Linked DNA regions of Coturnix japonica. The main gene of each other region encodes a partner of the protein of the gene in region 2 in a complex. Links are inferred from orthologs where the notes say so. Each region holds a gene or a part of one and is shown on either strand. Other genes may lie near its edges.

What was found. The genes of interacting proteins can lie anywhere in the genome.
Region 1: DR1 (region 2) and MBIP share a complex: the UniProt entries of both Homo sapiens proteins name them as parts of the ADA2A-containing complex. The link is inferred for Coturnix japonica from reciprocal best matches to the Homo sapiens genes DR1 and MBIP.
Region 3: DR1 (region 2) and SGF29 share a complex: the UniProt entries of both Homo sapiens proteins name them as parts of the ADA2A-containing complex. The link is inferred for Coturnix japonica from reciprocal best matches to the Homo sapiens genes DR1 and SGF29.

Annotation. Positions count from the first base shown.
Region 1 is NC_029520.1:33,103,460-33,107,758, reverse strand, and holds the start of MBIP (MAP3K12-binding inhibitory protein 1), read left to right. Parts: upstream 1-1,473; 5' UTR 1,474-1,494; coding exon 1,495-1,647; intron 1,648-4,299. UniProt on the Homo sapiens protein: Inhibits the MAP3K12 activity to induce the activation of the JNK/SAPK pathway. Component of the ATAC complex, a complex with histone acetyltransferase activity on histones H3 and H4.
Region 2 is NC_029523.1:12,067,155-12,070,880, reverse strand, and holds part of DR1 (protein Dr1), read left to right. Parts: intron 1-1,663; coding exon 1,664-1,810; 3' UTR 1,811-3,726. UniProt on the Homo sapiens protein: The association of the DR1/DRAP1 heterodimer with TBP results in a functional repression of both activated and basal transcription of class II genes.
Region 3 is NC_029530.1:7,882,894-7,887,157, forward strand, and holds the start of SGF29 (SAGA-associated factor 29), read right to left. Parts: upstream 2,827-4,264; 5' UTR 2,771-2,826; coding exon 2,696-2,770; intron 2,502-2,695; coding exon 2,426-2,501; intron 2,217-2,425; coding exon 2,144-2,216; intron 1,905-2,143; coding exon 1,840-1,904; intron 1,661-1,839; coding exon 1,531-1,660; intron 1,133-1,530; coding exon 986-1,132; intron 747-985; coding exon 711-746; intron 292-710; coding exon 129-291; intron 42-128; coding exon 1-41. Other genes in the region: melanotransferrin-like, read right to left, coding at 3,245-3,285, 3,944-4,130. UniProt on the Homo sapiens protein: Chromatin reader component of some histone acetyltransferase (HAT) SAGA-type complexes like the TFTC-HAT, ATAC or STAGA complexes.

The DNA.
Region 1 (4,299 bases), on a different chromosome or scaffold from region 2:
TCTCTTAAATCACTTTGGATTATTGCTGTTTCTGTTCATGTTTGCATAATGTATCATAATCTGTGAAATTTCAAATGGTAACAAATTTATTCAGCTAGCAGCTGCAACATGGATTGAGGCTTTTTGAGAGACTGAAAGTGGGAAGAAATTCTGTGGTCTCTTTACCAGTAGGAAACAGCACGTTTTCTCTGAGAGAAGACATAATGGTTCACATGATCTGAATCCAGCCAAGTGTGATGTAGCTCAGTTTGGGTAACATATCTCTTGTAAAGCACATATTTCCATGAAATATATTTTTTAAATCATTAGCTCTTAAGTCAGTAATTTGCCTCTGGAATTGAGCAGACATTCCCTTTTGGTTGAAGCTCCAGAACCTGCTCATGATCCTATAGCAGTTCAGACATGCTACCATTTTCAAAGGGTTAAGTCAGCCATGGCAGCTAAAACCTGCTGCTGTGCTGCTGGAATTGCTGCTGGAACTTGGAATGAAAGACCAACAACCAACCAACCATCCAAACAACAACGACAACAACAAAAACCAAGTGTGATGGGACTGAAAATGAAACAATACCAAAGATTTCAGTGCTTTCCCAGCATCTCAGAAGGCTTAATACCTCAAGAAATGGAAAACATAAGTCTGGTTGATAAGTGGGTATCCTCTGCCCATCTTGTCTGATTGTGACTTGCAGAATTGGATTTGCTTCTACCCTCAGTATTCTGTTGTTGTTTACTAAATGATCTCCCTTTGGACATGAAAAATGCATGATAGGGAAAAAAGCTAAAATGTCGAGATTGGTCTGTCCTGCAGAGCTATGTGGTCTCCCTTTATACCAGAGATGGAGAATTGGCTCATAAGCCTAGGAATACCCTTTTCAAGAGACAGGAAGTATGAAATGAATCAAGAGAAATGATTGTAAAGGAAATCTGGGGGAGGAAACAGGAAAATGGTAAAAGACAGAAATTAAGTGACAAAAAGAAACACCAGGTAGAAAACTTTCATCAGCACTGCTGCTGTCCTAAGAAAGAAGGTGAGCAGATTGCAGAGGAGGAAGTAGTCTTGCCCTACAAATATAGTGTGACAAACTTGTTCCTCATTGTATGGCGACAGAGCTACCCTGCTGCAACTTGAGGAGTCAAGGCTTTGAAGATAAACTCATGAGTGTACAAAAGTTAGTAATAAGCAGAAAAGTAAGGCTGAAAAAGAAGTACAATCATTTGGTATGCTTAGTATGCTTAGAATTAACACACGTCCCTCTTTCCATGAATGCACTCAGTCAAGGCACTACCACTGTGGACGCAGCTGAAGGATAGAAAGGGACAGGAGGCAAAGAGAAGGGCAAGGTGATGAGTTGTGCTGGGAGTCCTGGGGCCTTTAGGTGCTGGGCAGCAGTCGGACGCTGCCAACACCGTACACCCGGAGAGCCGCCATCACGGCCGCAACATTGGCTGCTGCTCCTGTCCATCATCGTTCGTCATCGCTGAGCGACGCGGGGCATGTCGCTGCCGGCTGCGGCCCGTGCTGCTGTCATGGCGGCGGCGCCCGGCCTGACGGAGCTCGGCGAGCGCTCTCCGGAGGCTGGAGCCAAGCTGGTGGCCTCGGAGGTGGCGAGTAGCGCCCTGCGCTCCCTGGCCGGGCTGGCGGGGCAGGTGAGTACAGGGTGGGAGGAAGGGAGGACCGGGGCCGGGTCAGCCGTGGACCCGCTCCTGCTGTACTCGCCTTTTTGGGCGGGCATCTCTGCTTCTCTGTCCGTGGGACTCTTCGGGGATGGGTTTAAAGTATAGGGAGAAAATTCTGCAGTAAGTAAGGGAGGCTGTCATGTCTGCAGGTGACAACGGGAACGGTGGGGTTGCGTGCGTGGTACTGTAGGCTGCTTGGGGTTTTAGTGTTGATGAATTATGTAGCAGATAGCGCGGCAGTGGTGGGAGGCTCTTATCGAGAGAAGCTGCCAGTAACAACTTAATAATTGCCATCAATAATTTACAAGTGAACTCATCTTCCTTCATGGAAGCACAGATGTCTTTCTGTGGAGGCAATAGAAGTGCAGTCGTGCTTTTGCAGTTAGATGGCAGTTTGAAGGTCTGGCGTCAGGTGGTGAGCTTGTGTCTTGGGGAGGTAATAGAGTTGATATTAGAGCTGCTGCATGCCCTCAGGAGGATTGCAGTAATTATGGAACAGAATAAAGGTTTTGGAAACACTGATATTTGGAGTGTGTTCTTTGTGTGACAACTTAAAGCCCTTTCACTGCATGCTGTGCTGAACGATGGGTGGGTAGGGGTTTGGTTACCTGTCTTAGCTGTTGTGACTCTTCAGATTACTCACTCAAAGTCATTTCCAGCTGTCCAGTTACATTCTTACCTGCCAGCATTTGAGTTCTGGTAGACTAGTGATGTTTTAGCAGCTTATCCTCTTCAGATATCCATCTTGCACTTCTGACTGATGCTTCTGGTCCCTTTCTCCCCTGTATTGAGATGGTAGAACGTTTGCCAGGTCTTCGTCTATCACAGTTTGCAATCTGTCATAGCAACTTAAGCAAGATTTATGCCATCAAGTTGCACTGGAAACAGGAAAAATAAATGTGTGTATATATGTATATATAATATATACACAATGTATGTATATATGAGCAATATATATTGAGCAATGACTTGCAGTGCAGTGATTAGAAGGACATCTGAAGATAACAACTCTTGAAACCAATATGGCAGATCCTGAAAAGTTACTTTAATCCCAAGGGATAATTTGTGAAGTTTATAAAACAATTTCAAAGATCAGGAATAACTTTGATGTAAAATAGTGAGAAAAATAAGTGTGCAGTGTTTGAAATGTGTTTGGTTGCAGGAGGAGTTTGTCCTTTACTTAACAGTGTGTGTGAGTTTATCCCCTGCCTCTAGATTCTAAGTCAGAAGGAATTGTTTTTCACATTGCACCATACGACTGTAGGATACAAGAAGGGGGCTTACTAGGCCATTACAGCAGGACATGTATTTTGTCTGTTACGGCAGTGTACCTCTGTAGCTGTTTATCCTATCAGCGCTCTGTAATGTAGCATGTATTACTCTCAAAACTTTGGGAGGAAATACTTGCTTCGGATAGTGCCCTTTAGATGATCGCCCAGTCACAGATGTTTGACTTGTAAAGTGAGGTTTTATTATACCAAATTCTTAATACATTCTTATGTTTCTGAGGTTTCATAACAATTATTTACTAAAACATTATTTTCCTTGCCTCTTATGTAGATTAAGTACTAACTAAGAATAATGTTTGTGAAAATTATCTAAAATACATTACATATCCAACTAGATAAAAACCATGATTCAGTTGTTATTTTGTAGTGCATTGGAAAACAATGCAAATCTATCCACTGTTCCCCTAGGTACTTATTTTTTTGTCTCTAAAGGCCAGTAGATCTTCCATCTCTTTTGCTATGTAACTGATTTGTAATCTAACACTGGATTTATCAAGGCTGATCTTTGACTAAAGAACGAGGGATCACGCTTGTCCTTCTTTATGTATGATGTTGCAGTATTGCTTGGTTCGAAAACTGATGTAGAGCAATTTCAGGTTCTGCTGCTTTGCCTTCAGTGTAATGGAAACATTCTTGATTTTATTTGTTTCATAATATGTTGTGCTATGAAACAAGTACATATGCATTCCGCGTTCATAATATTTGGTGCTGTTGCAAGATAGTGATTTTTAGACTATGTGTTCAAGGTCAATCTTATCACGGATGTGATACTTTTATTTATTTATTTATTTATTTTAATATGGCAGGAATGAGATGTAGATGTACAGATTTGCTTGTGACTTGGGATTCTGCATCCAAAACAGAGCACTTGTATATCCTGTTGATTTAAAACCGTTGTTTTATCTGTATTTATGATTTGGGAGATTGCTTAGGGGATATTTGGTTGGAAAACAACCTGTTTGGTGTGTGAAAATGGAAGTGTTTCTCCTTTACAACATCTTATCAGGAAAGCTTTAGTGTAATGAATGTGTCATAGAGCTGTGTGGAAGTACGTAATTAATTAGCGATTATTAACAATCAGTTCTGTATCAAAAAATTAAACTGAATTTTTAGTTTATAGAAGGTACATAATTCCTATAAATATAATTTCAGGTCTCCTGTGCGTGTTTCTCTTTGTTGTTTTGGGAGTTAAGTGCTGCCATTTCTCAGCAAAGACAACAGGATGTGGCAATTGCCATTTGTTCTGAATGCTCATGAAAGGAAACAGGGATTATGAAGTGGGTTTGACAGTGATGCTGTGTGGTTCAGAGTTTGTTTAACTGGAAGATTTTGA
Region 2 (3,726 bases):
CAAAATGATGATGGATATTCAGAACAACAAAGATAGTTGAGGGGGTACCACCTCCTAAGTAACATAAAACAAGAATGCTAAAAACCATTGCTACCTTATGTAGGCAGAATGGGCCACGTGAAGTGTGTTTTGGTGGTTGTTTTAAATTCCATAATACTGTGCCTTAGTGCCTAAATTAAAGACAGTACATGCAGGTTTAACAAAATTGTGTTGATTTTTATATGATTTTTAAAAGTGTTATGTTACAACGTGGCAAGTATTACTTAATACTAAATTACACTTAATTAACTTGAATTAAGCACAATTAAATTATACGTAAGTTGGTATGAGGATGGTGGTGAATGTTTAAAGTTAGTCTAATGATTCTTCCTGATATTCGTGCATGTCTAAAAGTGTGGAAGATGAGGTCATCAACAGAAGTGTTCTTTTTGAGGCTTCCTTACTAAAGGTTGCTTGTAAAGTTCCTGTGTAAATGGGTTGCTCGATAAATGAGTTCAGTTTACCCCAGATGCTGTTAAGGCTTCTTAGTCAATACAGCTGATGCTGCAGATTTACAGCATCTTGAATTGTTTTCCAACCTTTTTAGCTTGGCTACTGCTTAAACTTAGAAATACTGAGAAGTCCTCATTGGGAAGTGTTGAACAGGCTGAGAAATTGCAACACTTCTTATTGTATAGGAAGACTTCTTTTTTTCATGTATACTAAATAGGTAAACTGGTTTTGATCATTTTCTGAAGTACCATCTTTTGGTGTCTTGAAGTTTGGAAAGCTGGTTTGTTGAGGCTTTGGAAAAAGAAAGGAAAATTCAGTGAGCAAATAAAGAATACTGAAGGTTTTTAATTTAGAGAACTTTCAAAACAGAAAATGAAACGTTAACACAGTGTTGAAATCAAAAATAGTTGCTGAAAAACAGAAAAAAAGCTCTAAATGGGAAAATGGGAAGGCACCATGTGAGCTACTTGAAGAACATGGTTAGAACATCTTGTACCTTGAAGTACAGATAACATGCCTTTCTGTAACAAAGGCATCTCAACCTGCCTCTCCTTATTTAAGAAGAGCTCAGATTGCTCTGTTTTCCCAGGATGGCTTAGCAGAGTGAGATAATGGATTTCTTCATTTCTGTGGGTTGGTTTTTGGTTTTTTTTTGTTTTTGTTTTTGTTTTTTGGTGGTTTTTTTGTTTGTTTTCTTTTTGTATTTCTACATGCTGTGGTGAGAGGGATGAATTTGTAATTGCCAACATTATTTGTAATCAGCAGTGTAGGACTGTTCTCGTCTCTGAATGGTGGCTGAATGCTAAGAGGCCTTGAAACTGAGCCGTAAATTATTTTATTGCTTTGTCTTGCTTTATCTTTTCATTAGTAAGTGGTTCAGTACAACCCTTACAATGAAACTAAAGAGGTGTGGACTAATGTACTTGTTCTGGAAAGTATAAATCCTCTAAATGTTGGCCTCTTCAGAGGAAGAGCAAATATAGCTGGACATCCTAGTACAAATAACAAAGGTATTTCTAGACATGTTTTCTAGACATGTGTGTGCACAGTTAATAAAAAATTATGTAAAAGGAGCCTACAGGTGCAGATAAAACTGCTTTTATAGCTAAGGTGCTCTAGAGATTCTTCACAAGTTACAGTATGACCTTAACAATTAAATTCATGTCTTTAGGCTAGACAACAGCAAGCAGAACTGGCACAGCAAGAGTGGCTGCAGATGCAACAAGCAGCTCAACAGGCACAACTTGCTGCTGCCTCAGCCAGTGCATCCAATCAGGCAGGATCTTCTCAGGATGAAGATGATGAAGATGATATCTGAAATTCACCAGCTGGGTTTCTGTCTTCACTAAGAAATATTTTTCCTGCACAATGAAAACAGTGAAATGAATGCTTACCTGTAAGTTTGTATGCATCATGGACTGGCAGTTGGTATTCTAGGGGTGTCTGCTGTTGTGTGCTGTACATGTATAAACTGTCTTTTTTTGAACTCTTGAAGATTTAAGGTTCAGTATCATATCGACTTTGGATTTTTAATGGTGTATATGGAAATTTTAGATAGCAGTGCGTCACTTATTTGATCAATAAACAGTGTTACAATGAACAACAAGTTTATAAAATACAGTGAGATTTATACAAAAAGCTCTAAATCCACATTTGCATTTCTTCCCTTTTAACTAAACTATAAAATCTTACTTAGAATTTTTAATTGTTTTTGGGGGGAGTGGTACAGTAGAGGTAAACTGTTAATGGGAAAGAAGTCAAGTTCAGCATAGTACAGTCTTGAATTCTTTGTTCTTTTTAAAATGCGGATATATATGGCAATAAATACTATAAATGCTCCAATACCACACTTGTTACCATTTGAAAATGATACCTTTCCTAGCTTGGTGAAAACGTATGTTTAATAGGAGTTGTACAAATTGAATCCTTTTTGGTATGGGATGGAAAAAAATAAACCCATGGTTTTATTACTACGTCCTTTGACAGTCAGTCCTGACTGAATATTTTACTTGGAAGACTGCCAGTTTTGGAAAACTAACTCTTCTTATTGTTTTGCTCCGATTTAATGTTACCTGTTGATGTTATTGCGTAGTCCAGATATGTTCATATTGTTGAAATATAAAACTGGAACTTGATGAAACAGAACTGTTCTGGTTCCGCTGATGTAACTGGGAATGATTCAAGCCTGTGAAGGCAAAAGCTGAAGCTCCGAGCATGCTTACAATAAAAGAGGGATTTTATTTAACCTTGATAAGTCATCGTTGTCAGCGTAATGCTAATGTTTTCCACACTAGGTTGCCACTGGATTATTAGAATACTTTCAAAGATAACATTTTCATCACTCAAATTGGTTTGTAGGTAAGTCCAGGTTTTTGACAAAGGATTTCCCAAAGTGATGGGTAAGACATGGAACAGAACTGTAGTAGTCCTTTTGATAGTTGATTTGAAAATTCTGTTGATTAATGGATGAGCGGCTGTTCTTTGTGTTGAAATAAAGCACAGTAGTGTCCATTACTGGGTTTTAATGTGTTACTTGAAGTAATACTGTCATATCTTCTGGTACACTAATCTGAGCAGACTAGAAAAGCCACTTGTGTACTGCTGTAGATGATCTCATAGCTCTGTAACAATGCAGTTTGTTTATTTTAACCTGAGACCTCAGCAGGTTGCTCTAGTCGTGGGTCCTGAGGAGGGCAGCAAGTCTGTTTGTGTAAGGATACAAGTGGAAAACATCATGTCCATTTTTACATAACGATCTGAACAAGGTACAATTGGCATATATTCAGGTCTGAGTCTCTTAGTGACTTTTAAGTGTGAGATGCGTTAAGTTTCATATAGAGTAAATGTGAACACTTCCTTAAATGCATTAATACAGTGAAAAGTCAGAAATGTATTTTAATATTTAAGTTAAAACAAACGAAAAACCTTTCACAGCTACTATATGATATGTGTTAGGCAAGGTTTGATTAAGGAAGTGGTTTTCTGTGAAGGTTTAAGTACCAAAGGTAGAAAATCTAGTCTAGTGATACAATGTTAATGTGCAGTGTTGGCTTTTCTAATTTGTACTGTAACACCTTCACACCTTTCTATTTTAAATGAGTCTTTTCCTTTTAAATAATATTAGGTATATTTTCACACCTTTATTTTCTGATGCAGAATTCAGGTTAACATTTTACTGCATCTGGTATGTATGGTGTAATATGTTTGGATCCTTGTGACCTTTCTTTTGGACAT
Region 3 (4,264 bases), on a different chromosome or scaffold from region 2:
TATGACGTGTCCTCAAACAGCACCGAGTAGTCATCCTGCGGCTGTGTGCGGGGCAGAAAACAGCATCAGTAATGAGTGAGAGCTGGGGGCACGGCAGGGCCCATCTCCAGGGCAAAATGTGGCCGTACCCGCTGCGGGGGTGCATGGATGAGGGCACGGTAGAAGCAGGTGGTCTGTGGGTAAAGTGCCAGCACCAGCTGCTCGCGCTGGAACAGCGCTTCGGGGTCGGTCTCAGGGTTGGCCTTCCACTGTGGCAGAGGGATCACACGGCGCCGGCTGAGCGTGTGTCTCCTGCAGAAGGGAGGAGCAAGCAATGGGTACGGGCTGGGGATGGGGGAGATGAGGGGTGTGGAGAGCAGGTTTGGGGGCAGGGGTTGAGAAGGGCTTTGTGGTGTGGCGGGTATGGGGAGGGAGTTCGGGAGGAGCTAGAGGGGTCTGGGGGGGTGCGCCGAGGGGATCTGGGAAGATTTGGTGAGAGCAAGAAGAGTTCTGTGGAGAACTGGGAGCGTGGGGGACATGGGGAGGGGGGCTGTGGGGAGTTGGGGTGTTCTGTGGGGTTTGAGGAGGTTTGGAGGGAGTTAGGAAGAGTTAGGGGGTGATAAGGAGGGAGTTGGAGGGATTGGGAGGGCTTGGAGAGGAGGCTGGGGGCTGCCTGAGAGCGGGGGCAGCTGTGGGGTTAGAGAGGGCAGTTGTGGAGTGGGGGTGCTCACTCTTTGCCCTCCTCATCGATGTCGTCCACTTCATACCTGGGGTGGGGAGAAGCGAGAAAGGAGAAAGGACTGAACTACAGCAAAACAAGGGGAAATGCTGCGATCCCAGAGCACACCACGGCCCCACAAGCAACAAGTGCAGTGCTCCACACCATGCCCCACACCCCCAAAGTGCCCAAACTGCCCCCCCGGCCCCACTCAAACCCCCCCCAACACACACATATTCCTGCTCCCCTCCACACCCAACCTGCCGCCCCCTTGCCCCCTCCACGCACTTGTTGGCAGCATGGCTGTAGCTGACCACCTCCGCCAGGATCCACTGCTCATCGCCGTCCACGGCCTTGACACGTGCCGCCACTTTGTCCCCAGGCTTGGCCACGTAGTCCCCAGCTGCCGGCATGGCACCGCACAGTGGGGGGGGCCTGAGAATGAGGTGGGGGTGGGTTGGTGGGTGGGAGTTAGAGGGTGAGGCTGGGCTGGGGTTTGGGGTTCTGCAGTGCAGTCAGGGGGGTGTTGGCAATCCACAACAGGGGTCAGGGAACAGGGCCTGGGGTTTGATGGGGGGAGAGGGGAGGAAGGGTGAGGGCACGGTCAGGATGGGGTCTGGATGGGGTTGGGTTTCCCAGGGTGGGGCTGAGATTTGCTATGGATCCAAATGTCAGGCATGGGGTTAGGGCCGTGCTTTGGAATCTGAGTCCAGAACCAGAACTCCAGTGGAACTGGGAGCTCAGGGCACAATGTGGGGTATGATGGAGTGTGGGTCTGGGAGTTTAGGGCACCCTGTGGGGAAGAGTGCACTTGTGGGGTCGGGAATACCTACTTGTCACCTGGCTTGCCGATCCAGAGCGGCAGCGTCATGGCTGACTGCTGCAGCAGTGTCATCAGCACGCCACGACGCATCGTCTTGCGCGGCGGCTCCGCGTCACTGTAGATCCCTGCGATCTTGGCAGCTGTGACACAGTGGGGGGGTGGACACAGTGACACCAAGATTGGGAGGGCAGTTGTGGGGGGGGGCATACAGAGGGAGATTTGGGCGTAATTCCAGGGATTTGGGGTGTAAAAATAGAAAAAGAGAGGTCAGGGACACGTGGGGGTCAGGGACACTTGGGGGCTCAATGGAGGCACGTACCAATGCGGCGCTCTTCCAGCAGAGACTTGATCTCAGCGATCTTGTCCAGCGCCTTGCGCAGGATGCTGCAGAGCCATAAGGGCAGCTGTCATGTATGGGGGGCACGGGGCAGGGTGTAGGGTTGGTGGGGTGCAGGGTTGGTGGGGGTGTAGGGTTGGTGGGCTGTAGGGTTGGTGGGGTGTAAGGTTGGTAAGGGTGTAAGGTTGGTAAGGGTGTAGGGTTGGTAAGGGTGTAGGGTTGGTAAGGGTGTAGGGTTGGTAAGGGTGTAGGGTATGGGGATGTGGGTATGAAGGGGCCGCCCTACTTGCACTCGGCCTCAGCATCTGCCTTGGCGGTGGTGTACAGCCCGCGCAGCTTCGTGCGGTAATACGGCGAGACTGGAGGGGGGAGGTAAGAACGCTGTGAAACCAAGTCCCCATCGAACACGCTGTCCCCAAACCCCGCCCCGTTCCCGAGCCCGGCCCCAAAGCTGCCCCTGCCCAACACTCCTCTCTGAACCCCTTCCCCTCCCCATTGCCCTGCTCTCCTCCCAGCCCTGCCCCCTCATCCCCCTTCACGCCGCCCCTCGGCCCGGCCCCGCTCTCACTCTTATTCTCGGTCTGCATCCTCTCGTGCGTCTTCTGGATGTTGATGAGGTTGTGCTCGCTGCGGGACCGCTCCTCCTGCAATGCAGCGGGATGACGGGGGCTGCCCGCACCACCACCCCACCTCCAGCCCCACAGCCCAAATCCGGACCCGTGCGACAAAGCGCCGCCCCGAACCAGCACCCTACAGCCCCGCACCGCCCCCAGAGCGGCCCGATGGTGTCGGTGCGGCAGAGCAGCGCCCCGCTCGCTCTGTGCGTCCAGCCCCGCACCTGCGTGTGCCCCAGCAGCCGCTGCAGCTCGGACAGCAGCTCCGCGATCCGCGAGTCGGCCGACACCAGCGCCATGGCCGCACCGACGGGCCGCGGGGCGCTCTGCGCATGCGTCAGGCGACACAGAGCACTGTGCGTCAGCCCGCACATCGCACTGCGCATGCGTCCCGGTGCAGTTCCGCGCTTTGGCCACACGGAGGCAGCACCGACGTAAGAAACGAGTTCGGCGCTGAACGGAGCCGGTCACGGCAGCGCTGCGCCCCAATGAAGGGATGGGTCAGATCGACCCCAATGAAGGGATGGTACAGATCGACCCCAATGAAGGGATGGTACAGATCGACCCCTGCTGCAAACGGGAACGGCACGACACGGGAGCAGTATTACATGACCATAAACAACATCTACTTGCTGCAGAAAACAAAGGTTATGATAAAAGATAATCAGCATACATGGCCGGGGGTGACGGTTTCCTTGCAGACAGGCAGGACTAGACTGATTTCCTTGTTCTCACATTGGTGGCGGCTCTTGCCTTGCAAAGCAGCTGTCAGATCAATGAGCACAGGTGTCCTGTCTGCAGAAGTCCAAGATGCCTGCAAACCAATAGGAGAACATGGCCTTAAAGATGTGATCGGCCCTGAAAGTTGCTGCTGTTCACTACAACACAACAGTGCTGGTATTCCCTTGTTGACTTTCAGTCCTCTAACAGCTATTAAACTTCCTAATCCATTGTGCAAGCTGCAGCTACTTCAGCACAGATCCCCAGGGCCCCTAACAAGCTCAGCCCTGACTGATAAGCAGTTTCATTTAGTTTTAGTCAGAACTAAATACAAAATAGCTTTCAGTATATAGTAGTGAACAAACTCTCATTTAAGTACAATGAGATCTTTAACTCTGGTGTAGTTTTTAGTGCAGTCTTCTATCAGAAACAGAGTTATTTCCCCTAACCCTGACATACCCAGACCTCTGGGATAGGAAGAACAAGTTTCTGAGTGGAAGACAATTCCACTTCAATAACTTTATATTTGCTCTGACCTGCATTGGTTGTATCATCCCCACAGACCCCCATTTGCAGTGCTTACAGATAGGAGCTGCAAGAGTTCTCAACACTCCAGATATTACACTCCACTAACAAGGTTATGTAGAAATTACCTCTGAAGTTGGCATAAACCAGAGGGCCGTGCCTGTGCACACAAAACTTCCCTCTGCTTTGCATTTTTCTCTAATTCAGAATGAAGAATTTGACTTTACCTGCAGGTGTACAATTAAACACTGACTCTGCCAGCTGAAAGAAAGGTTCTCCAAGGATTTCCCGATAGCTCATGTGAGTTGCAGGAACAAGGGACTGAGTAGCATCTTTGAAAAGCAGATCACTTTCACCATATTTTTGTGAGTGAAAGAGCTGGAATTCAGAATCCAGCTTGGTCCCCAGAAATTCCTAAACAGAAAAGAAGTTCCACAGTTTGGACTACAAATAACAACGTTATGTTGGTGACCATCAGTTTTATAACAAGATCTAACAAGAAAACAAAACACAGATCTACTTTCATCCAGTTATACAACAAGATATGG